Linked DNA regions of Rattus norvegicus. The protein of the gene in region 1 interacts with the protein of each later gene in a pairwise test. Links are inferred from orthologs where the notes say so. Each region holds a gene or a part of one and is shown on either strand. Other genes may lie near its edges.

Region 1 (3,500 bases):
GTCATTACTTATTTATTTCTAGGTACTAGCAATGACTAGTACCTAGAGTGTCACATAGTACAAAGCAGTCCTATAAATAAAATAAACTTTCATAAATCCAACTGTAACTCAAACCATATAAAGATCACAAGACATGAGTACTGTATCAGAAACAGTAGAGATCATATACATAATGGTACTTGTGTCAAGAAGGAGTAACAGAAATTAGCAAGGAGTTGGGTGGGACAGCACACATCTGTAACTCTACCACACAAATCGCCAGGCAGAGGGGTTTTGCAATTAGAAACTACCTTGAGCTACAGAAAGTCAGCCAAGGTTACATAGTGAGATTACGCCCCATGGAGACAATATAGCAAACACTTAGCAAAGGGAAAATGGGAATAAAATGCCAAGCTTACAAGTGGTAGAGAATTCCGTGCGAAGCGGCACATCTCTTCTGCTGGATTGTAATTTCCCAGGTACAGGTACCTTTTTTTTTCATTTCTCTTTACTTTACTTCTAACTCAGGAAGAAAACTGCAAACAGATCTGACAACTGGAATCCACTAACTCCCACTCAGTAAGATTGATGTATTCTTAAATAATAACATAGATATCATAATTTAAGAGTTGAGTAGCAGTCCAGTTTTCAAAGACTGAAATAAGCACAGACAGAAAGCAGTATGTTAAGGAGCCCCTCAGTCCTCACTTGCAGCTCAGCCTTGACCTCAGGGGCCTGCGCCTCAGGAATGCGTATGTCAGAACTCTGCTCTTCCAACTCATCGCAGCCTTCACTCACTTCTGTTGAGGTTACTGTCCCTTCAGGAACACCAACGTTCTCTTCAGTATACAGGTGACGGATCACCACAGCCTTCTTCTGCAGAGACAAACACCAACATTTACCTCCATGGTTTTACTGTCACAATTCCTTTAAGTATATTCACAGGAATTATTCTCTAGACAAACTATATAAAGATTTAAAGACATTTGAATTACCATAATAATGTATCATAGTTTAACATGCTAATATTAACATATTTTATAAGTGCTTGGGAGACAAAGTCTAGCTTTTTAGAAGCTTTCTAATGTCTTAGGTTAAATACTGAAATATATTTTAAAGATGTTTAGTTTTATTTCAAGATGATGGAGAAAGTCCTTACAGTAAAGATGAAACACGTTTAGCAAAGATGTGATTGCTAAAACAGGTTCATCTGTGCTTTTGTAAATGTTTAAAATATTACATGATGGAAAGTTAAAACAAAAACCAAAAGAAAAAGAACAAAATAAAAATAACTATTAGGTGTGGTAGCACACAGCCATAATCCCAGCATTCACTAGGCCCAGACAGAAGGGTTAGAAAGGCCAGGCCAACCTGGGCTATATAGTGAGATTCTGTTAATGAATAAACAAACAGTATCCATGAATCCAATATGATCAGAATAGTCAAATATTTATATTTTCATAAATGTTTAACTCTTCTTTTGTGGTATTATCCTCATTTATTGTAAGATTAAAAATATTGTACTTTAAAAAAAAAGAAACATTTTATATCTTTTATCTAATTATACATTGATTATTAGTCTCTATTCTGTCCTTTTACCCAGAAAGGAAAATATCTGGAAGTACATTTATAATTAAAATGGAATATTAGCTTAGAGTTCCCCTTGGATATGAAAAACTGCTATCTCTAAATGTATTAGATTCGTTTAGCCACAGGAGCTCAAACCAGACAAAGACAGAGACAATGTATATCTAAAATAAGGAATACTCAAAACCAGATTACAAGGGAATCTATACTCTTGGTTTTCATTGCAGCTAAATGAATCTTCATAATCACTGTTGTTACTAACGGGTTACTTAATACATACACACCCCTTTTAGGGTGATCGGATATGTAATTATGAGTATACACCGAGGGCTTGGAAAGATATCTCAGGTTAAAAACACAAACTCTTGCAAAAGGCACAGGTTTGGTTCCCAGCACCAGCACTCACATGGAAACTCACAACCATGCATGACTCTAGTTCCAAGGGATATGACTCACTCTTTTGCTTCCTTCTGATATACAACCACATAAGATAAAAAGGATATATTACTTAAAGCATGCCAATGCCTCTATAATATAACCTTACTACATTTTATCTGAGAAATGAAAAAAAAGGATTCAACATTAGAAATATAAAACATATTCAATTTTTCCTCTTTACACTTCTCACAAGTTTAGGAATGGTCCCCAAACATGTGCGCTAAGAAGTCACCTGCTGAGACTGCAGGGAGGAAGGGGAAGTGGGATAAGAGAGAGCCACAGGGAGTGGATATGATCAAAACACATAAATAAATGAAATAAAGGCCTTTGAGAACACTAGTATGCACTACTAAAAACATCATGTATCCTGCGCTGCCTGCTGCAGGGGAGAAATGTATCTTTACTGTCTGTCTGCAGATGCCTCTGTTCCTTTTCTTTCCTCACCTTTCCTGATGTCATAAACCTGCCCGTGACGTCAATGCCAACCGCCTCTGCAGGGCACTTCTCACGACTTGAACAAGGTTCTGGCTTCTCAGAAATGCTCTTCTTCCTTTGGCATGATGAATTCTAAGAAAGGAAAAGGAGTAGACAAAACAATACAGTGTGTAGGAAAGTGTGAGGCACATTGTCATTCTATTAATACTTAGTTCTGATTAACAGCCAATAGTCAAAGTAATGCAGCATGCTTTGTTTAGTTGTTTCTTGTAAATTTGGGAGAGACTAGTATGGTGGTGCTGCAATCCCACACAGAGAAGACTGTGGAAGGAGGGCTGAGGCCAGCTTTAGTTACACAGAAAGTATAAGGCAACCTGGGTTACATAGTTAAAAAACAAAAATGAACAAAAAAAAAATTAAAAAGTGTCAAAAATATATTATCTTTGAACTGTTAAGTTACAGATCATAGATACGTAAGACACGTGACTAGTATGGGAGAAATTATGGTCCTTGACAGGGTTATTCCCTATATGTGAATAATGGAGCAACTGTGGCATCCGATATGTGGGCTGTATGGAGCAATGAGATTTACATTAAGTAGGTACTTATGGCTTTAGGTCAGACTGTGGGACATCCTAGCCTTGCAGTGACCTGTCCTCAGCAAGAAGCTAGCTGGGAAGCATTTATGTCCTATAGAGGAGATTCTGAGACATGAAAGTTAAAAAAGTTAAAAGGAAGGACTCTTCCTCTGTGGTTTACACATTTACGTCCCATCGAATTCCCATCTTGGTTCTACACAACCTTTTTTTTTTTTTTTTTTTTTTTTTTTTTTTTTTTTTTTTTTTTGGTAGAAACTAATCCTAGTTCCTAGATATGCCTTTGAAATTCCTAGACAATTACTCATATAGCATTAACACCAAGAATTCCCTTCAGTTCATAAAACACTCCAACAAATAACAGATGGAGTATTCACCCACCAAGCTTAACTGCCCACTCCCTTCCCTTGCTTTTGCTTCAGTAAGTCTGTCTCTGTGCTTAAGTCCCTTCTAATGCAGCCCCTG
Region 2 (3,500 bases), on another chromosome or scaffold:
CTTGGAAGGGTCCCAGAGATGGGCTAGCCTAATAGAAGGGTGGCCAGGAACACTCAGACCAACAGTAATTAAAGCTAAAGCCTACAAAGATGTGTCCTCTCTCATATCTCTGCTTGCAGTCATGGGTCCTCCCTCTCCTGATGGGAGAGGTAACGATTCTAAGTCTACTTCATTCAAAGTCTGGGAAACCAAGGCACAAAACCTTCCTGAGGTTGCTAAATCCAAAGGTGGCAGGGCCAAGATCTGTCACCACACTGTTAGTAGGTTGGAGCTGCCAGAGTAGAGATGACACAAATCTTTAATGATCTGAACCCCCTCCCTTTGTCTCAGGGTTTGTTCTTGATTTCCTCTGTCCTGCCTGTCTCCCAGAATCCCTGAGAGGAAAACAATGCCTCGCACCTGGCTGCCCATGGTGACTTACCCAGTGGTTTGAGAAGTTGCGGGTGAGCACAGCAGAGCCAAATGACCGGGCAGGGTTGATCCCACAGCCAGTGTAGTCAATCTGGAAGGAGAGTGTGTAAGGAGCAAGAATGTAAGGGAAATGACAGAGAGGATGGAGAATGAGAAAGAGCAGGCCAGGGGAAAATCAATCCCAGTGGATGATCAGAGAGGTCCCTGAGTCCTTTCCCTGTCACCAGAGGGGGTCTGCCATCCCACCCAGTGGAATTCCATCTGAAATACACAGACGCCCACACTAGCCCCACCCACCACCTCTTACCTTGGCCCAGACCTCCCCACCTGGGAAGCCCCTTACTTACGGCCAGCAGGTGTCCAAGAGCCACAGACAAGCCAATGGCAAGTGGGGCTGAGCCACCTAAGTCTCGGCGCCTCCGGTCAGTGGTAGCCAGAACGCACAGCACCAGCTGCAGGGTGCCAATGATCTCAATGCCCAGGCCCTGGCCGGAGTTCACACCTCGAGCCAGCTGCGGAGGAGAGAAGCCAGAAGGCCCAGTGACTTCCGGTGGCAATCATAACGAGATTCCCAGAGCACCAGGCCCAGGTACCACGAGACAGTCGTCAACCACATCCTAGCGTATTAGAGAGCTACTCACTGTGTGGCCTCAGAGGGGGCCGGACAAACACATAGCAAGTAACGACAAGGCCCCAGGGTGACTTGGGGCCTCTTTGTTGGCTACATGACAGGCCCAGTGTTACAGGGGAGAGGTGAGAGTCAGACACGGGAGGTGGTCAGGGATGTCTGTGGGAGAAGAGAAGTGTGGGTAGGAAGAATGGAGTAGAGATACTGCCTCACCCTTCCAAGTCCAAATCTTTCCCTTCTGCATCTCTTCTCTCCCCTCTTCTCTCTCCTGGCCTTGCGTTCCCTCTCTTTGGCTGCATGGCACCAACCATGGTAGTCTGGCTGTCCCCGCTCCTAAGCTACTTTAGGAAAGATGACTCATGGAAAAAGAAGGGAATGAGAACTGCCACCAAGTCTCTGGAGCCCTATGGTACCTGTAGCTGCCCTGAGAAGATCCCTCGCAGGGGATCCAGACCTCTGCTCCGGGTCAGGGAGGGGGTTGGTCAGGGGAGGGGGGGAGAGTGCTGAGGCCAGGTGCACCCCACAGAGCAGCTGAGGAGTCTTAGTGAGGATGCAGGATGCTTCCAGTGGTCTCCCTCCCTGAAGGGACAGCTGAGCCTCACCCCAACAGCTGACACTGAAGGCTCACTTCCAATTTCCCCACAGAGTGGTAATATCCCCAAAGCCACCTGGCATTCTTGGGGGGGGGGTCTTCCCAGTTCAGCCCTTAGGCCATCTCACAAGAACAATACTCTTCCCGCCTTTGTCTGCAGTGCTGGCTCTCAGGGAGTGACTCACATCCCTTCCACTGCCTTGAGGCCCCAGCTTTGGGCCTTTCCTGGCCAATGCCAAAGCTGTGCCCCCTCTGCCTAGTGAGCCTTCTGGGAGCAATGCCCAACTATCACCTGACTATAATAGAGGCAGAATCCCAGTGTTCGGGTTCTCACTTTTCTAGTCGGCACCATGAACATGCCTGTCTCTGGGCCTCAAGTTTCTCCATCTGCAAAATGGGTTTAAGGTCTCAGCTCCATCTAGACTCTAGAGCCTCCAGAAGATTCACAGGGCATTTGGAGAAGGCAGCAAAAGCGAGAAATAGCAGGTGGTAGAGATGGAAGTGAAGGATAGCTGTGTCTGCTGGCAGAGGCTGCCTCGAGCTGGGATGGCTTGATGGAGGAATGACTAGAAGTCCATGACGGCTATCTCTACGTCTGCCTGGAAAGCCCGTGGCCCTCATTGACATTCACGGCTTTTCTCCTTCCACACCCCCTCCTCTCTTAGGCTGGCCTAATTGCTGGCTGGCAGAAGTACTGTGAGGAACACTGCCTCACCAAATAATGGAACTGTCCCCAAGCTTCCTGCTCAGATCCAATCCCCACCCTGCCCTTCTCATAGATGTAGCCAGAGCCAGTTTATCTATCTCTTCCCCTGCTCTAAACTAGGGTTGAGTCCCAGACCCTATACAAAGAAGGTACCACTTTCTATCAACACAGAGCAGAGCAGGCCCTAGTTCCAGGCCCGGGGGTCTGAGTCCTCAGGAAGCAGGAGACAGTCATCTGGCCTGGGAACTCTGGAAGGGACCCAACTCCTGACAGCCAAAGCTGGCAGTCGTACCCTCCTGATGCCAGTGTTCACTACCATCCCAGCAGCAGCCACCTCGCTTGCCTTGGCAGCTGATGATGCCTGCTCTCCGCCCAATGGACTTGAGCTACTTATATCTGGGAAAACAGTGAGAGGGTTAGAGACAGTCGGTGGAAACTCTCTGTCCAGGAAAGAGCAGGTTTGAAAAGTCAAGCCATAGTGAGTGCGTATAGCCCACTACATTTCAAACAACTGTTTAAACAGGGCCCAAGCCCAGTCATTGTCATTTATCATGGGAGAAGATCCATGTTTGCACACGTGGGCAGAGTTTTGCCTGGATTTTCACCAACTAGAGTTGAAGGAGCAGCTCTTGGTTTTGAGAATGCAGGTGTGAGCGATTGAACAGGCCACACAGCTCTTGTGAAGCGTTCAAAGCTACTAATCACTAGACCCAGATGGGTTCACGACTTACAGCAGCGTCCAGACTCACCAGCTCTACTGAGCTTTCTGTGGGATGAGGTTTCTTTCTGCCTCCCTCTGCCACACCTTCATCTGAGCAGTTGGGTATCACTGAGAAGAGGAGTCCACCTGCCACCTAGCTGGGTGTTTTTGTCCCTCCTGGTCTGGGAGCCTTACCAGGGTTCTGCAAACCTTTGAGGGAAGGCTCATTGGGTGTGCAGTTTCCACAATTCCCAGCCTCTTTGTAATAGTGGATTCTAATGAAGGCCGATAGAGCAAAGGGCCTATGCTTTCCCAGGTAAGCTGGGAGACGATAAGCCAGCCAGTGGCCTTTGAGGCTCACATGTGAGAGGACAGAGCAGGAGAAGGCAGCGAGGCCTGGACCTTAGGGTTGATGTCACTTTGGGCTCATAGGAAGATATGCTGGCTACAAGGGGACCAGACA
Region 3 (4,231 bases), on another chromosome or scaffold:
AGAGCCAGAGGTACAGTTATAATTCCCTTCCAAACAGAATGAGCTCAACTCAGAATGAAACCACATGGGCACAAAGACACAGGAAGCTTGGGGCTTAGCAATCCAGGTGAGGGGAGGGGAGGCACTATCTTCTAGAAGCAAGAGAACAACTAGAGCTATAACATCACCTGGTCCCAGTAAACAGGGTGACAGGCTGAGCACTGACCTGGGTTAAATGGAAGTTCTGTCCTTGCTACTAAACCTCCCAATTCCCACAGCTGTGAAATCTCTGCCTTACACTTGTGTAGCCCTGTGGCCAACACATGACGACAGCAGCACTCCATCAATATCCTTCCTCACTTTGTTGCATATAGGGGTCCTCCTGACTATCTTGTCTGGGGAGGTACAGTGGGCAGAGAGGACTTCCTCACAGGCCTGGGAGGTAGGCACGTTTACATCATCTAGTTATCTATGACTACTTGCCAATCCAAGAGGACCAGTCCAAAGTATCCTGACAGGTTGCCTGGCTTGTGACCCCATGGTAGGTGGGACAGTAACCATCCAGGTAGTGATGAATATATTCCAGAAAAAGATACTTATGTCCTTCCTTCTACCTATCAGATTATTGAAACAATGGACCCCAAGAAATTTCTCCAGTAGCCTTCCTTTTGGAGAAGGTAAAGGCTCAAGGCCCATGCCATCCAGACAGACAGAGAGAGAGAGAGAGAGAGAGAGAGAGAGAGAGAGAGAAATTGTCTCTCAGAAAGGGATTTCACACAGCCCTTATTGTCAGACTACCCTGCAGGAGAGCCTGAGGCTCAGACACTGATGCTGGGCTTGGACCACACCTTGGATGGGTATCTCTGGCCCACTAAAGAAACCCAAACTTCATGTCCAAGATGAACCTGGGAAATCATTAGACCTCTTTGTTCCTCCTTCAAGTATTGCAGCATTGAATAAATCTCCTCTTCCTGCTTTTCAACATCAGTCAATTGCTTAGTTGACCTATTGAAGACTGGTGACTAAGCCTGTCTGGCATACTCAAGGCCACATCTGGCCATGAGAAACAAATCTCCAGTCAGCAGTGACCCCTTCATTCCATATCCCTTTGCCCTCCAAAATCCAAATAGCTACACAAGTCCTACGGCACAGGAAGTGGGGCTGGAGGTCCAGGGGACCAGAATTAACCCAAGACTTCTCAAATCACATTTCTCCTTGGCTGTTAAGCTGATTCTGGGAACTGGGGATAGAAAGCTGTGCCCCTAATATAAGGAACCAAAGGAACCATGCCCATCCTCACACACAGTAGCAGATGCATGTTGTACGTATTAAGAATCAGACCTTGCAAGGTTCTAGAGGACAATCAGAACATAGTTCCCTAATATTCTAGCTCAGCTTTCATGAGCTGAACAAGATATAAAAGTGGCTGCTCACTCCAATGTTGTAAGGAAAACAAGTCTCCAGGCTGCTTCCTTGCCTGACTATATTTGCTGACCCGGTTACAGTTACACTCATACAGAACACCAATTAGAGAACCATCCTCTTTTGTACACACCTCCCTGGACCAAATTTTAGACAAATTACCTGTGTCTTGGGTCCCTCCATCCTACATTTCACCCCCTCTGGTTGCATGGTCCTGGTCTTCCAATGAGCTCTTAGGTAACTCTGGAGAAAGCAAGCCCACCCCTTTGTGACATAGCAGCAGAAGAAACAGTCAAATCAAAGGCATCCCACCAAGGAAGCTATTGCATGCCTGGAGACCTAAGAACCACAATCTGCGAGGGGTTTAACCATTCACTGGCCTCAAAAGGAGCAACTGAACATCCATTCCTTAGTACCCATCTTTGGCCCACAACAGGGATTAATTCTTTTGGCAGCTGCAAATGGGCCACATGCTGGGGTGTCAGCTCCTGGGTTCATTCTGTGTCAGCTCCTGGGTTCATTCTCGTGCATAAGATGTCAATTCTAGTTCAAGCTAGAGTTCTCCACAGATTTCCAGAGTAGTTAAACATAATGAAGGGTCTCCTTTGGTCAAGTTAGATTTTTCTTACAGTATCACCAAACCTTGAAAGGTTGGGGGGGTGGGGGGGAGAGGGGGTACTTGAATAGTCAACGCAGCCCCCTCATTTAAAGCCAGAGGATCCCAAGGTCCAGAGAGACCATGTGTCCTCCCCGCAGACACACAACCAGGGAAAACCCAACATGACAAGAATTGAAACAGCTGACTTCCTTGTTCATTCTATAAGGTTTGTAAACAGGGTTATTGTAGCGAGAATTGGTAAGTTACATCCTTCCGTGACTGTCCCTACCTGAGGTAGAATCACATTGATTGGAATTTCTAGGCTCTCAGATCTGATCTCTCTCTTTCTCGTAAAATTTGGCCTCGAGTGCTGCGAAAAAGAAAAAAAAAATTAGATTTCTCCTCAACCCACCTTCAGGGCCTCCGTGGCTCACCTGAAATAAACAACTGCTTACACACTTCTTACAAATTAATTATATACCTTATAATAATAATAATAATAATCTCAGTGTAAAGATTTGTGTAGATGGTACCTGGCCAGTAAGAAACCTTACTGATCACCGGACAGAAGTCAATGCAGGAATTAGCAAACATAAAAACCCTGTTGAAAGTTCCTGAAGCAGTTCTTCCCGGCCTTAAACTATTATTTCCGTATCAAGAAAGTAGCCATACCAACGTGAGGTGCCAGGTATAGGTCCTGTGCATAAGCTGGTCACCAAAACACTCAGAACATTCCAGAGGTGACATCACAGAACAATATGGTGGTTTTCAGAGCTCATGGTTTTTCTCTAAGCAGCTTGGGTGGCAAGCAGGCTTCTGTCAGCAGGAAGGGTTGTTGCTGGCTGTGCCCACAGGGCTAGCCAGGGTCAGTGTGACGCACAATGGCCCCAACATTCACTCTTGTTTGGTCACCGCAGGCTGCAGCTCAGGCTCATTGCCAGGCTGGTTTGAAACCTCCTGCTCACTTCCCCTCAGAGGTGTCAGCTCCTCCAGCTGCATTACTTGGGAAGGGAGAAACAGGAGCTGTTCGGACCTGGGGAGGGCTGGCACTACTGAGGGACTCCAGCTCAGCTCCACTCTGATACTAGCTACATCGAGTTACTGTGCAGGCCCCAGAAGTTAGGGGCTCAGCCCTGCAAGATGACCCTCACCTGAGGGACCAATCTCAGATCAAGCTGTGATCAGCCACAAATCAGGGGCTCCGCTGACCTGTTCCTCACATTCAGTAGTTGGCTCTCAGAACTGAGGAAAATGCTTTTACTTAGGATCTCAGCTTTACTGGGAAGGAAGCAGATCAGTAGGGGCCTGCGGAAGTAACAGGATGAGAGATTGGCGGGGTAGCTTCAGGCCTTCTCTGGACCCACCTGCCCCCCAGCATTTTCAGCACCAGTGTCTGAATTCTGTTGTATATCCTGTTGAATATCATTATGTAGGCAAATTTAATGAAATCATTGGTCTTTGATCATTTAAATGCCAACTCCTTCCTTCCCCTGAGGTAGAAGTGTGCTGAAAATTCCAACTTTCTAACCCCGTGATTGTCCCCTCTAGCAACTATCCCCCACCCTCCAAGAGTCATCATTCCACTAGGTAGCATAAGCTGATACGTGCTCCAAGGGAGATCCTGTCAGGACATTTAAGGCTGTTCAGATAGAAAAGTACAAGTATACAATTATAGTACAGGTAGAAGTTGCTTCAAGGCCACAATATCCAGTTCCTCCGTCTTTAGTTCTGTCAGACCCATTACCTCCAGAGCTCCCGTGTGTAACTTAGTTCTGTGTGATTTTGTCCCTTGGAGTATGGAGAGAGTGGTGAACCAAGATCAGAAGATCCAGAGATTCTGAAATTGGCTACTTGAGTCCCAAATACCCAAATTACAAACAAATCTCGGTGTAAGACAATGTGAATATACAAAGCATAAGTGCGTCCATTGCCAAAGACTTCGTCTCTACAAAGGAACTTCAGGACTTTTTCTTAACTCTGTGTGTGTGTGTGTGTGTGTGTGTGTGTGTGTGTGTGTGTGTGTGTGAGATTATGTATGTATGCATGCAAGTGTGTGTGGTGGGAGTGTGTGTGTGTGTGTGTGATGTGTGCATGCATGTGTATGTGTGTGATATGTGTATGTATACATGCACCTCTGTGTGTGTGTGTGTGTGTATGCATGCATGTGTGTGTGGTGGGAGTGTGTGTGTGTGTGTGTGTATGCGTGCGGGCATGTTTATGTGTGTGATATGT
Region 4 (2,336 bases), on another chromosome or scaffold:
CAAGACTAGATGTTTAACCATTTTACCTCTTCTAAAATGGATATTTCCTTCTGGCTTTGCCATTACACCATCATCAAGTGAATACTCTGTCCCTTATGCCTACTCATGTGACTCATGCAAACTGTCTTTACCCCTTCGCTGACACCCATTTCCTTCTGCTCTGAGACCTTTGCTCCCATGAAAGGTGGCTTCTGTTCATCAGCAGCATCTTCCAAGTTACCATACTGAAAATATAACTCTCCAGTGAGGCTACAGACTACTTCTGGTCTTCTCTGAGGCTTCTTTTGTACTCAGAGCCAACAAGGGAGCCTTCTCCACCCTCCTCTCTGCCCAATTCCCCCCACTGGGGTCATTACCCAGCCCACCCCCACTGAGAAGTACTCCCTCGATTCAAACCCCCACTCCTAAGCATAACTTCAATCTTTTATTCTTTCTTTGATATCTTGTGGATACCTCCAACTCAACGAGACAAACTGAAATAAGTCAGAACAAGTAACTTTCATTTAAACATTTTATTAGTATTCATGGACACAGGGGGCAGCCTCCTCTGCTATTAGCCTTCATGGTTCTAGCTGAGTTTGTGAGGCTTCCCACTCTTGGGTTGTGAACCCCATTCTTTAGCCATTCCTTCTGGGTCCAGGCATCTCATCAAACAGAGAGAAAGGCGCATTCTTGAAGGCTTGAGGGGGTTCACGGTCATTCTCTCTCTGTCTCTCTCTATCTTGTGAAATATTTTGCTGGCTGTTGATGTTGGCTTCGGAGCCCACCACCTCCAGGATGTAGTCGGTAAGGTAATCAAGCATGGCAAGGAGGAAGTCAGAAGTTGTGGAACCTAGGCAGGGGGTGTATTGCTCCTCCTGCAGTAGGCGGTACACATAGTTCACAGGCACCTGTACCTCAGGCCTAGAAGAAGGATCTTCCGTCTGCTTGTTGTCGCTGCAAGCCTTCTCTTGGCTCTTCTTCCCCGACATGATGGTTTGATGGTTTGGGCTCCGGTAAGCTCTGCCTGGTTCACCAGCAGGACTGGTTCTCTGAAGACAATGTTCAGTCAGGCCCATTGCACCCTCAACTTCTGCACCTCATTGGTCAGGAGCTACCTTTATGACATCTTAGGCTTTGAGATGTCATTGGTGCCTGGTGGGTTATGAGCTTTGACTAGGTTTTGAGCCTAGAAATATCTATCACAGCAATGTGACCACCTTACCCTGATTTTGAGGGGACTCTAACTCTTCTCAATTACACTTGAATTAACATTGTAGAAATAATGTGTTTTACTTGAAGCTGTCTGTCTTTACAACCTTTCATCAATTACAAGGCAGTGATAAGCATGTCAAATACATTTCCAGGTAGAGGCTTGACTGTCCTCTTCAAGCAGTGTTGAGACCCTTTTTGATTCAATTTACTTATTTAAATAGGCTTGGTTAACAATCCTGTACACATTTGAATATATTCATTCATATGTTTATTCAGTATCATAGATATTCAATATCCACATGAGTTTTATCCAATTTCCAAAACATCTCTTTTTGGAGAGGAAATGCTTGGTGTGTTTCTGGTACATAGATGTTGGTAGCTATACTTTGTGTTCTATTTAAGTCTGGATATTGCTTTCTTGTTGTTCTTTCTGTTGGGTTAAAGCCAAGCTCCAGTATACATATTTTATTTCAATTTTCCTTTCTATTACTATCTTGTTTCTGTATTTTTGTTGTGTTTTGGTTCACTTATAACCAGTAACTCCTACTCCAAAAGATCTATAGTGAAAGGAATCTTCAATCAAGTCAATATCAAAACCCAAATATGTAAAACTTTATTGGATATCAGGGCAGAACAATAAGCTCATGAGATGTGAGACCACTGATCCTGGCTCTATTGATTTCATAACTTTATCTATAGCCAGATTTCTTCCCTCCGAACTCTCTGATAATTTCTTTTAATCATATGTCCTTGGCACAAGGTTACAAGTGAGTAATCTTAGCCACTATTGTTCTTCACAAAGCTTAAAAACCCCACAGATTTCTGTCATTTCATCTTCTGTCACCTTCAATCTAATCTGACATTAATTCTGCTGATATATCATTTTCCAAAGCTTACAGATCTAAATGACTCATTTCATCAGACATTAGATTCTTTCACAGGTCCTTAATCAAAGTAAAAGGTAGTCATGCTTCAGCCCACACACACAGAGAGGCTAAGTAACAAGGAGGGCTCTAGGGGTAATGACTGGATTTCCCTGGGAAGGGGATATAGAATAGATTATGTGGGTAGACTGGAGGTTGGTAGTGAGTGAACAGGAGAAATCAGGTTGGGGAGGAAGCAATGGATGGAGAGAGTACAAG
Region 5 (4,149 bases), on another chromosome or scaffold:
CGCACGCGCACGCACGCGCACACACGCGCACACACGCACACACGCGCACGCGCACACACGCGCACACACACACACACACACACACACACACAAAGAGAGGGTATTGCTATGTAGCCCAAGCTGGCTTTGAACTCAGCATCTTCCTGCTTCTGTTCCTCCTAGTTCCCCATTAGAGGCATACACTACCATATTTGGTTTGCATTAGGTTCTAAGTTCGTATTTTCACATTGTCCCATCACTCCTGTCCTTTGTTTGTGATAAGGTTTCATTATGCAGCTGGCTGGTCTGGTACTCAGGAGATGCACTTGCTCCTGCTTCTCAGGTACTGAGGTTAAAGGTGTACGCCATGGTGCCAGGTTGCCACTGCCTTGCTTTACCTCAGCCGGGAAGCCTTACAGCTGTCTCCCTTGGGTTCCACTGTACTCAGCACAGACCAGGTTCTGAGCTGTCAGCCCTGGGAGGCCCAAAAGGTAACACGGAGATGGCAAATCCAACCAATGGAGGCCTCTGCTTACTTTCTATTATTTTGGTTACCAATTATTCAGCTGGTCAGATGCGACTGGGGGACTAACCAGGTAGGAGTCAGGTTTTCAGATCAAGAAGGCCCTTTCTTGATTCTGAAGAGGTCTGTGGCTTACCTGGTCCATGTTGATATTTCAACCTTGGTGTAGCCCAATTCTATTGCTGTACAAACAGGGAAACTAAGACCCTCTCTAGGAGTGGAGAATAAACATGCCCAAAGTCAAACAGCAGGTTGAAAGTGGTGTTGTCGAGCACTTAGGCCTCCCTCCGGTTTTCCATATTCCCAGTGAGAAAGCTAGTTGGATTCCTGCCTCCACTTGGCTCCCAAGGCCAGGAGGCCTTGCACAAGTGAGTGATCTGAACAGCTCAATGGGATGACCCCATCTTTGACTAAACTGGGGGGATGTACTGTCTTGAAAAGCAGATTCTCTTGTGTCCAGACAGAGCAGGCTAGCCCATGAGATGGCAAGTGTTCACTCCCTCCCGTCAGCAGGAGCTCCCCCTCACCTAGACCCTTGGCTTTCTTCTTTTCCTGTGGCCTTCGAAGGTCTCGGTCTCCAACCTCGTCACTTGCTCGGATCTCTTCTGTGCCAGGCTCCCCCTTAGAGGTCTCTTTCTCGCCATTGACGACTGGAATGCCCGGTTCAGGCTCCCCATTCCTGGCTGCATAGGTTCGGGACTTCTCTGTGTCTTCAGGCTCAGTGGGCTCCCCCTGAGCTCCCTCCTCACCTGGGCCTCCCTGATTGTTGTCCACACAGTATGTACTCAGAATGTCTTCCAACTGTCGGCTCAGCTCCTCAGAGACATCACAGAGGGCCCCAGACTGAGATGCTTTAGCTCGAGCGCCTACAAGATGAAGACAGTGAACGTTAGGTGGTTACACCGCTCCCTTGGGTTTTCTTCTTCTTTAAGCCCAGACAAACACCACTTGTGTGGGTTAAACGTTCCATTTATTTATTCAGTTGAGACAGGCTCTCTCTACAGGGCCTTGGCTGTCTGGGAACTCACTATGAGGATGAGGATGACCTCAAACTCAGATCTACCTGCCTCTGACTTCTGGGTTCTGAGAACAAAGGTGAGGGCCACTATGCCTGGCCTCAATTTAATTTTTTTAAACCCTAAGTCGTATAAAACGTTTTTATAAGACGAAACAATTATTTCTAACACCCAAACATACTTGTTATGACCATCAAAGACAACTGTGTAAAGCACCCCTACAAGAGGGACGACTGACGTGTAGCAGACGCTCTGTCTTATGAAGGACAATTAATCACCGGGCACTGGCAAGTGGGAATATGACTTTGCTTATGGGGCGCCTCATTTGATTGTCATTTGGTTTAAACCAGTCAGAGCATGCCCCCAAGGTTCCGTTCCAGGGCTAAGAGTGGAAAGCTTCATCACCTCCCTAGGAAACATGAGGATCACAGAATGGGCATTGTTTCATTCTATAGTTCCTCCTTCCTGGGTAAATACTGGCCTCAGATAGATGCAAGTACCAGAAACTCCTCCCTCTGCCCACTGGAAAAGCAGAGCTGGCACACACCCTCGGTCTTCCCAGGAGCCTGGCTTGTGGAACCTTCAGCTTCCGCACCAGGAGCTGTCTGTCTGGGCCGTCCATGAGCTCCCTCCGGTCCTGCTTCCCGTTGCCCAGGGCTGTTCTTCGGGTTGGAGTGTTTGGCAGGCCCATTCTTTTTGTCTTGGTTCTTCATTGTGATCTGCAAGGCCAGAAAAGGGGTAGATCCTTTACGGACACCGCTGCTATTTTCTAGACTTCAAAATTCTTCACAACCTAGATGAGAAATCTCCAAATCTGAAGCTCTAAGCTTCAAACAAACTGGTCGGCCTTCGCCTGAGACTTCACGGTCCCGGGCAAGGTTTCCGAGAAGCTGCACCAGCACAGAGTGAAGGAAGGAAGAGGCCTCCCTTCTCCTGAATGCCACTTCTCAGCACCACACGGCTCCCTCTCGGCAGCGGGAGCGCGGGATTGGCTCAGAGCCGCAGACTGACGTGGCGGGATGCTCCAGTCCCGACCGGCCCCCCGCCCCACCAGGTCCCACGTGGGATTCCCGCGCGCGCGCGCGCGTACACAGAAGACACCCACACCCCACGCGCCCTCTAGACCCGAAGTACGCATGCGCAGCACGGCAGCACACAACTCTCCCCACCCCGTCCACAGAATTAGTTGTTCCTCCGCGGCTAACGCGTCCTGGGTCATGGACCCTCTGAAGAGCTCGTCCCGTGTACAGCCCAAAGACATACTTCACCGCGGACGTCCGACCGCGTCCCCGACTCTGGCCGAGCACCGGAAACCTGGGTAACTGCTGCCAGCTGGACCACCCTCTCCTGCGGCAGCCAATCAACAGCAAACGCTGGCGCGGAGCTTGCTGGGAAAAGAGGCCAAGGCGGCTTTGGAGGCGGGAGTGGGAAAAACTACGAGTCCCTTCATGCCTTGCGGCAGGTCACAACTCCCGAGATGCAACCGAAAAGCTTAGGAGCCAAATACCCTGAGGGTCCGAAATTATGTCATTCGGTCTAGAGATTCGTGTCAGCCTCCTTCCTAGTACAGAAACTATGATTGGCCCTTAAACTTTGGCAGTCTGGATTTTTTTTCATACACTCCCTTATGAACATGTATGACTATTTTAGGATCTCTGAGGACTTGCGAGTGGAAGAGAGAAAGAAGGGTAAACTGTGAATTAGGAGATATTTATCTCACGCCCAAACCACTAATTTGTTATGTGCCTAGTATCCCTCCCCTCTCCATTCCAGTAGAAGGTTTATAATAATCCAAACAATGTGTTCTTCCCTCGTATGTAATAGCTTGGTCCTCATAATTACTCAGAGAAAGAACATTATACTCAGAGATCTGGGAAATATAGGGCAGTACGGAAAAGGCTAATTAAAAGAAAAAAGTATGTACTATTGTTTGTTAGAGACAATGTCTCATGTGTGGCTTTGGCAGGCCCCGAATTCTCTAGGTGTATCAAATTGGCCTTGAATTCAAGAGTTCTGCCTGTCTTTGTCTCTCCAAGACTGGGACTAATGGCACGGGCCACCATGCCCAGGTAAAGGGTAAATAATCTATGGCTCCATCCATCAATACTGTGTGCTTATTGCGGATTCAAACCTGGAAGCCTGACACCACCCATCCTTTTCTTAATCTTCTCCCCAGTGCCCCATTCCATTCCACCCAGCCCAGTCAGGGTTTCTCCGTGTAGCCCTGGCTGTTAGTCTTTGACTATGCTGGCTTCTACCTCAGATCCAACTAAAACCCATCTTAACCATTCTCCGCCATCACAGGCTTTGAGACCAAGTATGCCCCGCCTTCTGACATCACCAGCTTGGATCCTCAGGAGGGGATTGTAGCAAGGAGGTTTGGCTTTAGGCGGATTGGTAAACTCCCACTCAGCCCTGCCCCACTTTCTGCAAAGTACCACGTGCTCCTACATGGGCTAATGCTTTAGAAAGTTAGATTTTGTCTTTGTTCATTAGGATTTTCGATGCTTAGATCATTCAAAAACAAACACAATTGTGATTTCAATTATTTACTTGTTTGGAGTTTGCTATGTTTGATAAGGTCTTGCTTTCTAGTGCTGCCTGACTTGGAACTCGCTATATAGATCAAGC
Region 6 (3,500 bases), on another chromosome or scaffold:
TCAGGACAGGGCTTCAGGCCGCACGCGGAGCGGCTCTGAAACACCACAGAGCAGTAGTCAGAATTTCTTTTATTGCCACATACTCAAATGGATGGAGTCTGAGAACTGAGGCACAAACATCTACGCTCAAATACATCCCCAAGGCCGGCCCCACAATGCTTCCGTCTTGTCCCTCTGCATGGACCTCCCTCTCCAAGGCACTCTCTGCCCTTTCTGCCCGCAGCCAGCAGACCAGCGCTCAACTATGGCCAGCTTCTTCCCTGCAGTTTGTGCTCTTGCTGCCTTAGGGATTACCTACAGGGTGGGGGATTTCCACTCACTTGTAATTAATGTGCCAACCATTCTTCCAATGTGTTGATAGGGGCATATCTTGTTTCTACAAGATAAATTACTTAATGATTTTTAAAAATTGGGCATTTCAATACCAAGCAGAATTCCAAACACGATGTCAGGCCAGGCTATCGTGAGGGCCAATGCAGCTAACACACAGCTTTCGGCACGCTGCTCAACAAGGCACTTCGGCCTTTAACCTTCTGCCCCAGAAAAGACTTTGCAGCTGTCTCTTCAGCACAGAATCGCCACAGATACTAATCACAGGAATACCCTCATCTCTGAACACACTGTCCTTTAAAGAGAATTCTGCTCAGTGAAGGTGTGATACCCCAAACAGCAGATACCACCCTCTGCTAACTTACAGCGGTCTGGGCTTGACAAGGGGAGCAGAAGCTATGTACACCCACCATGCGCGCCCTCCTGAGGCACTGCTGTAATCCATGGCTTTTGCTAGCCCTACGAGCTCAAGGAGATAGCAGAGGTGAGAAAGAAAAGGATAAACTCTTCAGAAACAAGCCAACACCACTACAGGCTGTTCCTTGCCCAGAGAGACTCAAGCAAGATAAAAAACCACCTCTGCACTTCAGCTGTGACTGGCCCTTTTTGGTTTTAAGTCAACAATAGGGAATTCTTGACATTCGCCATTACCTGAACAGCTGGGGTGGGAATGGCATGGTTCCTGCCCTGGGGAACTGACATTTTAAGCAGGAACAGATCAGCCCCTGCCTGAAGCTTTATGCAAGAGCTTGTCACCTAAGCGAATGGTCTGGAGTTGAGAACACATTTGCTCCAACATCTGTACCTCTCAGATACTTCTTTTAACTTCTGGTGGAGGATAGTGGCTTATCATTCCGCCAGTTGTGTGCCTCCCCATGGCATTCTGGTTGATCAAGACAGGAACAAAACCACTCTGTGCTGCCAGCCCCCACCCCCGAAATGAGCTAATCACACAGACAACCCACTGTTGTGTACACAAAGGCAGGGCACCTAGCTGACCTGCACCTGCTCGGAAAGCAAAGAGCAGAGAAGCCTTGAGGACATGGTTTGCTGCATCCTAACCTTTACCCAACCTCTCCCTGACTTGACCTCGGATCTGAAGCCCGTTTCCAAGCAGAGACCAGTTGTCTCCAGGCTGGCTGCTGCCGTCACCTTGCTCAACTGGGTACCCTGCCTGGCTTCTGACCTCACCAGTATGCTGAAACCCCAACCCTTCCCACCTCCTCCATTTCAGTTTCCCATTCTGTGTACTGTGCTTAGTTATTAGCACTGAGTCCCTGCTCCAGAGACAACTCTAGGCAGGAGCCCACTAAGCGCCTGCCCACCTGAGGCCCCGCCCACCTGAGGCCCCGCCCCCGCCTCTGTGGTACCTGGAGGTGCTGCTCCTCCTCCTGGAACGTCTTCTCCAGCTGCTCCACTCTTGCCTGCTGCTGAGCCTGCTCTGCGTACAGCTGGGACTGTAGGTCTCGCAGCTCCTTCTCCATCCTCACGACTTTCTTTGAGCTCCCCTTCCGGGCCTGCCTCTTGACGTTCAGGACAGCAATCTGCTTTTCTTGCATCTGGGTTTTCAGCTTGAGCATCCTGGACATGGTCATCTTAAACAGTTCTAAGCTGCTCTGAGATGCTGATGGGCTGCAGGCCTTCTGCTTCTTAGGATAGAGTTCGAGGACCTTAGGAAGAGTAGAGCAAGCATGAGGCCCCGCGGTCCTCTCACTCGCCTCAAGAGACGCCAAGGTAGGGCACAAACATCCCAAGGGCTGACTTGCCGCTTCACCTTTGCCGTGTAACTTCTCTGGCTCAGCGGGTTTACTGGAGCCTTTAGCCAGTGGGCACCTGAGATCTGAGGGGCCCTCGGCTGGAAGACTCTCTACCCCATCCGAACTGAACTTCCTCTTAGTTCTCAAGCCTTTATGTTTTTCCGTTGTGTGGTCATTCTTGGGGGCAAGGCAGGGAGCCAGACTCTCCCGGTCTTCTTCGATAACTTCGTATTCGTACTCCGCATGCTCCTTGCTTTCCAGAGGCACTCCGAGCTGGATGTGGTCTCCCTTACGGATGCAGTAACCCTGTAACGGCGCCAGACGCTCTCTGTTCAGCCAAACACCATTCAGACTCTGGGGAGAAAGACGGAAAAACAAAATAAGCTCATGATTTTCCCCCTCTTAACGGAATTTCTCTCTTGCTGCTACAAAACCTTCTGCCTTTTCAGAAGGAAAGCCCTTGAGGACAGACAGAGATGAAAGGTTCATAAAGCACCATCTTTGGAAAGAGCATTGTACGCACAGTGCTCTGGCTTTCTACCTATATGTCACATTCATAACTCCACAGAGAACCGCCCGTCTAACAGGCAAAAACCTCCCTCCTAAAGCACGGCAGCGCACTGAACGACGCTCAGACCCAATCACTCCCATTGACCTAAACTCTGGGCAATGAGTCAAGCTGGAGAAAGCGCTCCTAGGAGGGAAGCATTACCACAGCGAGCCCTAGCCAGGCTTGGGCAGGAGTCACCCAGGCTCTGCACCTCCCTCTCAGGGTACAAAGGCTATGGGGACAATGCCAATGCTCTGTCCTGGGGTGGGGTGGGGGGTGGGGACGGACTCAGGAACACCAGCGGCTGTGTACATGAGGCATAGTGGGCGAGCAGAGCCAGAGCTCCTACTGGAGCTCTCAGGCCAACACTTGGGGGTGTTCGCCGCATACGTTAGCAATGTCTCTTCTCTGTGTACTTTGTCTATAAAATGAGGAAGTCTGGTATCTACCCCACACTGCAATGCTTAGCACAGCACTCCAAAACCATAAATCTTTGCCCCCGAACTTCTTGTTTTAGTGAAATTACATTGTTAGGAGCATGGATCAGGAGGGGTTGAGCTCTGGGGTAAAAGCACACTAAGACCTGGCTCAAACCCCAACACTGGAGTCTTGCATTAGACTGCCTGCATTTCCAATGTGTCTATCATCTGAGAGCCGATGACACCCGGTAGACTTCCTGCTTGTTTTCTGGGTTGGTACAGTGGTTTGAATAGGAAAGGCCCCCATAGACTCATCATGTGTTTGAATGCTTGGCTATAGAGAGTGACACTATTAGGAGGTGTAGCCTTGTTGGGGGAAGTGTCACTGAGGAGGCAGGCTTTGAGCTCTCTTACACTCAAGCTACATTCAGTGTGACACAGACT
Region 7 (4,218 bases), on another chromosome or scaffold:
ACGTTCAGGAAGGAAATGTGCTCTAGCCTTCTCCATACAGTGGCTCTCCAGGCCCCTGGCCAAGCAAATAGAAACTTCGACTTTACTTAAATTGTCTCCATTCCCAAACGGGGCTGGAGAGATGGCTCAGCGGTTAAGAGCATTGGCTGCTCTTCCAGAGGACCCGAATTAAATCCCAGCATTCACATGGCGGCTCCCAACTGTCTGGAATTTCAGCTCTAGAGATTCTCACACTCACTCACCTGGAGAAGGAACGCCGACGCAAATAAACATTTTTTAAATTAAAAAACAAAAAACCAAGAAAAAAACTAGTTAATAGTCTTAAGGATACAGTTAGAGGCACAGAGCAGTGGTTGCTGGGAAAACTACCAAGCAGGTTCAAGCGTCCTGGGCCAGAATCCCGCGTGGCTGCAGCATCTAGACTCTAAAAGAGACTCCCCGGATGCCAACGTGCCTGGGAAAACATCAGGGCTGGGGGTGTCCCTTGGCAGCAGAGCACTTGCCCAAGCACCCACAACACATCCCCCAGCACCTCAAAATAAAAGCACCCGAAAGCCGGGCCTAGTAGCTTAGTACTTCATGCCTCTCATTCCGGCCCTCGGGAGGCAGAGAGGGGAGGACCTCTGTGAGTTTCAGGATAACAGGATCTACACAGTGCTGCTCAGGCCAGCCAGGGAGACCCTATCTCAAAGAAGACAAGGGTGAGCCAAGGCTCAGGGAAGGTGCACACACCTTTGTCGCTGCCCCTGGCCCCTCCATGTCATTATGTTTCTGTAGGAGGAGGCACGTGTCCACAGGTGGAGGTTAGAGGACAACTTTCTAGGACATCCACTATGCCAGTCTCTGAGATCCAACGCAGATCTTCAGGCTTGCCGGCAAGCCTCCTTCCCCACCATCTCACCTGAGCCCTAATTGACCATTTTAGCAACTACCCCAAGCTTTCCTAAGGCGTTATCCAAACTTCTAGTCTGATGGCAGTTGAGTGAATAGTTTTTTTTTTTTTTTTTTTTCTATTTTTCGGAGCTGGGGACCGAACCCAGGGCCTTGCGCTTGCTAGGCAAGCGCTCTACCACTGAGCTAAATCCCCAACCCCGTGAATAGGTTTTTTTTAGAAGGCTTTGCCGGAGCTAACCTTTTGGTTCTGTGTTTGACCCAAGGGCCAGCTTTTGAGTGGAGAATGGCAAACCCGAAGAGGAGGGAACCCAAGCTCCACTCACCCTGACCCACGCACATCTGACCATCTGACCTGGTTTTTCCAGACCCACGGTAATAATAGTTAGTAAGCGACACCACCCCAGGATGCGGGCGGTGGGTGAAGAATGGGCTCGGCCGCGGCGAACGGGTTTGGGCTCAGCGGGGATTAGGCTCCATCCCCGTGTGAGTCATGCCTGCCTGCCTGCCTGCGTGCGTGCGTCCGCCTCTCTAAGCCTCAGCCCCTTCCTCCGCCTGACGCCGGCCCACGGCTCCCGCCCCCGCGCGGCGGGGACCCGGGTGATTGCAAACAGCCGCCGGCCTCATTAGGAGACCTGTAATTAGAGGCTGGCGGAGCCGAGGGCGGGGGCTAATTACCACCGGGAGAGGCTGAGCCGCCGCCGGCCCACTGGGAGGCGTCTGGCCCGCACCGACCGGCTGCCCCGGATCCGGGTGCTTCCTCTGGGTGGCGGCCACTCGCCGCCGTTTGTTTACTAGGCCCTCACCTCGCCCGCCCGTGCCAATGCAATTCCACCTACACCACCATCCTAATAATTCCTAATAATCGGAACTAAAAGGGAAAGCTGAGCTCTAGAGACGCGGTGTCGTCCCTGACAGCACCGGACCAGAGTACAGGACAGGAGATCTGAACCCACGGCTGTGGCTACGTTACTCCAAGGTAGGCAAGTGAGCACTGGAGTGGACCGGAGCTGGGACTTTGGAGGCAAATGCTTGCAGGGTTAAATTCTGAACCTGTACCGTATCTATAAAATGGGCGCAGGATTAGGATCCAGAGACTGATACTATTTTTAGGGAAGCGGGAGCGTGGCGAGCTCCGGCACACCGTGGGCCTCTGGCACCCCCTACCGGTCTAGGAGGACTCTGGTGGTGGGCAATGGAGATCTGTGGTCCCCGAAAGCTGTTTTGGGCCAGGAGAAGACTGAGATCTCGGATCTTGCAGATAGTCAGCTATGAAATAAGTCTTGGGGCTGAAGATATGGCTCAGCGGTTAAGAGCACTGGCTGCTCTTCCAGAGGTCCTGAGTTCAATTCCCAGCACCCACATGGTGGCTCACAACCATCTGTAATGGAATCCTATGTCCTTTTCTGGTGTGTCTGAAGGCAGCGACAGTGCACTCACATACATAAAATAAATAAAATTAAGAGGTGAGAGCACTGGCAGCCAAGTTTGACCACCGGAGTTTGATCTCCACCTTCCAGCGGTGGCGAATACACACATCTACATTTCTACAGCAGATAAAATAAGTCCAATTCTTAAAAACTACCCTGCTACAACAAAGCCTGGCCCCAAGAAACCCAGGATAACAAGAAAATCTGTAGACAATCTATATGAGGTCTATCGATCCTGACCGCCTTAGTGGCGCATTTAAACATGGCAATACTGTGTGCACGAGGAATGTCTGTAGCAGCACCGGCGACAGGAAAAGAGAGTGAAGCAGCAGACTTACAGGCATGTTGCATGGTGCAGGTATGCTGCAAAATATATATGTCCAGGCCTCGACCTTGCAAAACCTATCTCTACAGAAATGGGAATGATGGCTCCTTCTCACTAAAGGCTTTGCCAAGGGCCTGGGAATTCAGGGAGCCCTGAAGCTTATCTACATCTTTTTTTTTTCTTTTTTTCGGAGCTGGGGATCGAACCCAGGGCCTTGCGCTTGCTAGGCAAGCACTCTACCGCTGAGCTAAATCCCCAACCCCTTATCTACATCTTAATAGGGCGCTGGTCGCACAAATCCACATTATTCAGTCGCATCATTAAGAATATGCGCTTAAGGGGCTGGGGATTTAGCTCAGTGGTAGAGTGCTTACCTAGGAAGCGCAAGGCCCTGGGTTCGGTCCCCAGCTCCGAAAAAAAGAACCAAAAAAAAAAAAAAAAGAATATGCGCTTAATGTAGAGATCAGTGAAGTGTACCGCGTACGGTGGTACACGTCTGTGGTACACGCCTGTAGTCCCAGCCCTTGGGAGGCTGAGGCAGGCAGATCTCCCGGCCAGCCTAGTCTACCGAGCTGGTTCCAGGACACCCAGGGCTACAGAAAGAAACCCTGTAACAAAGCCCCAACAACAACAACAACAACAATTACACAAAGATATTGAAATTAATGGGTTAAAAAAACGCATTAAAAAACCTAATTCTCTATTCTCAACAAAGAGGGCTGGGTGTAGTGGAGTGCATTGGTAATTCTAGCGCTTGGTAGGAAAAGGCAGGGCTACAGAAGTTCCGGGTCGTTCTTGGTTACACAGTCTGGGGTTAGCTTGTGGAAAAGAAGACAAAGAAGAGAGGAAGGGTACTATATTGTTTTTGCAAACCACTTGACAAAACTCACCTCCACAAAACTGTCAAAATCCTCTCAAAGAATTAGCGTATTTGGGTGTATGGTAAAACTTCTGTCCTGGTTTTTTTCAGGTCCCAATTCCCGTGACACTCTCGGGCTTTAAGTGCAAGGATGTCCGCAAACGTTCACTGGACGACCCAAAGTACACACAGAACTTGAGCGCAAAATCCCCAGCGCCTGCCTGAGGCGGGCGCATGCGCTCTTACGCTCGCCGCGAGAGGCGGAGCGTGGAGATTGACAGGGCTCTCGGCCTGTTGGAGCCTAGTCCCGCCCTCCTCCCGCATCCGGCGCGGACGCCATGGTGCGGTTCAAGCACAGGTAAGCAGCGCCCTCCGTGTGCGTTCCCCGCGCCTTCCCCGCGTGCCGCGCTCACCCCGCCGTCCCCCGCAGGTACCTTCTGTGCGAGCTGGTGTCCGAGGACCCGCGCTGCCGCCTGAGCCTGGACGACCGCGTGCTGGGCGGGCTCGTCCGGGACACGATCGCCCGGGTGCACGGGGCCTTCGGCGCCGCCGCCTGCTCCGTGGGCTTTGCAGGTGCGAGGGCGCCGCAGGTGGGGTGCGGGGCGCGCTTTGCGGGGGAAGGCCCGGGCCATGTGCCGCGTTTTGTACGAGAGCGGAGGGTTCTAGAAAAGCAAGAGTGCGGCGAGTCCAGAACAGAGCAGAAAATGCCGGTT

Evidence for each region.
Region 2: the proteins of Cep44 (region 1) and Aqp1 interact in binary tests that used the Homo sapiens proteins (3 or more experiments, as listed by UniProt). The link is inferred for Rattus norvegicus from reciprocal best matches to the Homo sapiens genes CEP44 and AQP1.
Region 3: the proteins of Cep44 (region 1) and Cby2 interact in binary tests that used the Homo sapiens proteins (3 or more experiments, as listed by UniProt). The two-hybrid records come from large-scale screens. The link is inferred for Rattus norvegicus from reciprocal best matches to the Homo sapiens genes CEP44 and CBY2.
Region 4: the proteins of Cep44 (region 1) and H2ap interact in binary tests that used the Homo sapiens proteins (3 or more experiments, as listed by UniProt). The two-hybrid records come from large-scale screens. The link is inferred for Rattus norvegicus from reciprocal best matches to the Homo sapiens genes CEP44 and H2AP.
Region 5: the proteins of Cep44 (region 1) and Txlna interact in binary tests that used the Homo sapiens proteins (3 or more experiments, as listed by UniProt). The two-hybrid records come from large-scale screens. The link is inferred for Rattus norvegicus from reciprocal best matches to the Homo sapiens genes CEP44 and TXLNA.
Region 6: the proteins of Cep44 (region 1) and Rnf8 interact in binary tests that used the Homo sapiens proteins (3 or more experiments, as listed by UniProt). The two-hybrid records come from large-scale screens. The link is inferred for Rattus norvegicus from reciprocal best matches to the Homo sapiens genes CEP44 and RNF8.
Region 7: the proteins of Cep44 (region 1) and Pop5 interact in binary tests that used the Homo sapiens proteins (3 or more experiments, as listed by UniProt). The two-hybrid records come from large-scale screens. The link is inferred for Rattus norvegicus from reciprocal best matches to the Homo sapiens genes CEP44 and POP5.

Annotation. Positions count from the first base shown.
Region 1 is NC_086034.1:38,728,759-38,732,258, reverse strand, and holds part of Cep44 (centrosomal protein of 44 kDa), read right to left. Parts: intron 2,572-3,500; coding exon 2,449-2,571; intron 856-2,448; coding exon 688-855; intron 1-687. UniProt on the Homo sapiens protein: Centriole-enriched microtubule-binding protein involved in centriole biogenesis. In collaboration with CEP295 and POC1B, is required for the centriole-to-centrosome conversion by ensuring the formation of bona fide centriole wall.
Region 2 is NC_086022.1:85,819,284-85,822,783, reverse strand, and holds part of Aqp1 (aquaporin-1), read right to left. Parts: intron 924-3,500; coding exon 759-923; intron 503-758; coding exon 422-502; intron 1-421. UniProt on the Homo sapiens protein: Forms a water channel that facilitates the transport of water across cell membranes, playing a crucial role in water homeostasis in various tissues.
Region 3 is NC_086033.1:57,324,486-57,328,716, forward strand, and holds the start of Cby2 (protein chibby homolog 2), read right to left. Parts: upstream 2,801-4,231; 5' UTR 2,747-2,800; coding exon 2,672-2,746; exon of another isoform or gene 2,533-2,671; intron 2,370-2,532; coding exon 2,289-2,369; intron 1,812-2,288; exon of another isoform or gene 1,612-1,811; coding exon of another isoform or gene 1,564-1,611; intron 1-1,563.
Region 4 is NC_086039.1:15,579,976-15,582,311, forward strand, and holds H2ap (huntingtin-interacting protein M), read right to left. Parts: upstream 1,056-2,336; 5' UTR 972-1,055; coding exon 618-971; 3' UTR 501-617; downstream 1-500.
Region 5 is NC_086023.1:147,266,474-147,270,622, forward strand, and holds the start of Txlna (alpha-taxilin), read right to left. Parts: upstream 2,801-4,149; 5' UTR 2,688-2,800; intron 2,238-2,687; 5' UTR 2,232-2,237; coding exon 2,066-2,231; intron 1,369-2,065; coding exon 1,030-1,368; intron 1-1,029. UniProt on the Homo sapiens protein: May be involved in intracellular vesicle traffic and potentially in calcium-dependent exocytosis in neuroendocrine cells.
Region 6 is NC_086038.1:7,693,965-7,697,464, reverse strand, and holds part of Rnf8 (E3 ubiquitin-protein ligase RNF8), read right to left. Parts: intron 2,442-3,500; coding exon 1,701-2,441; intron 1-1,700. UniProt on the Homo sapiens protein: E3 ubiquitin-protein ligase that plays a key role in DNA damage signaling via 2 distinct roles: by mediating the 'Lys-63'-linked ubiquitination of histones H2A and H2AX and promoting the recruitment of DNA repair proteins at double-strand breaks (DSBs) sites, and by catalyzing 'Lys-48'-linked ubiquitination to remove target proteins from DNA damage sites.
Region 7 is NC_086030.1:47,039,233-47,043,450, reverse strand, and holds the start of Pop5 (ribonuclease P/MRP protein subunit POP5), read left to right. Parts: upstream 1-1,418; 5' UTR 1,419-1,870; intron 1,871-3,616; 5' UTR 3,617-3,843; coding exon 3,844-3,863; intron 3,864-3,935; coding exon 3,936-4,078; intron 4,079-4,218. UniProt on the Homo sapiens protein: Component of ribonuclease P, a protein complex that generates mature tRNA molecules by cleaving their 5'-ends. Also a component of the MRP ribonuclease complex, which cleaves pre-rRNA sequences.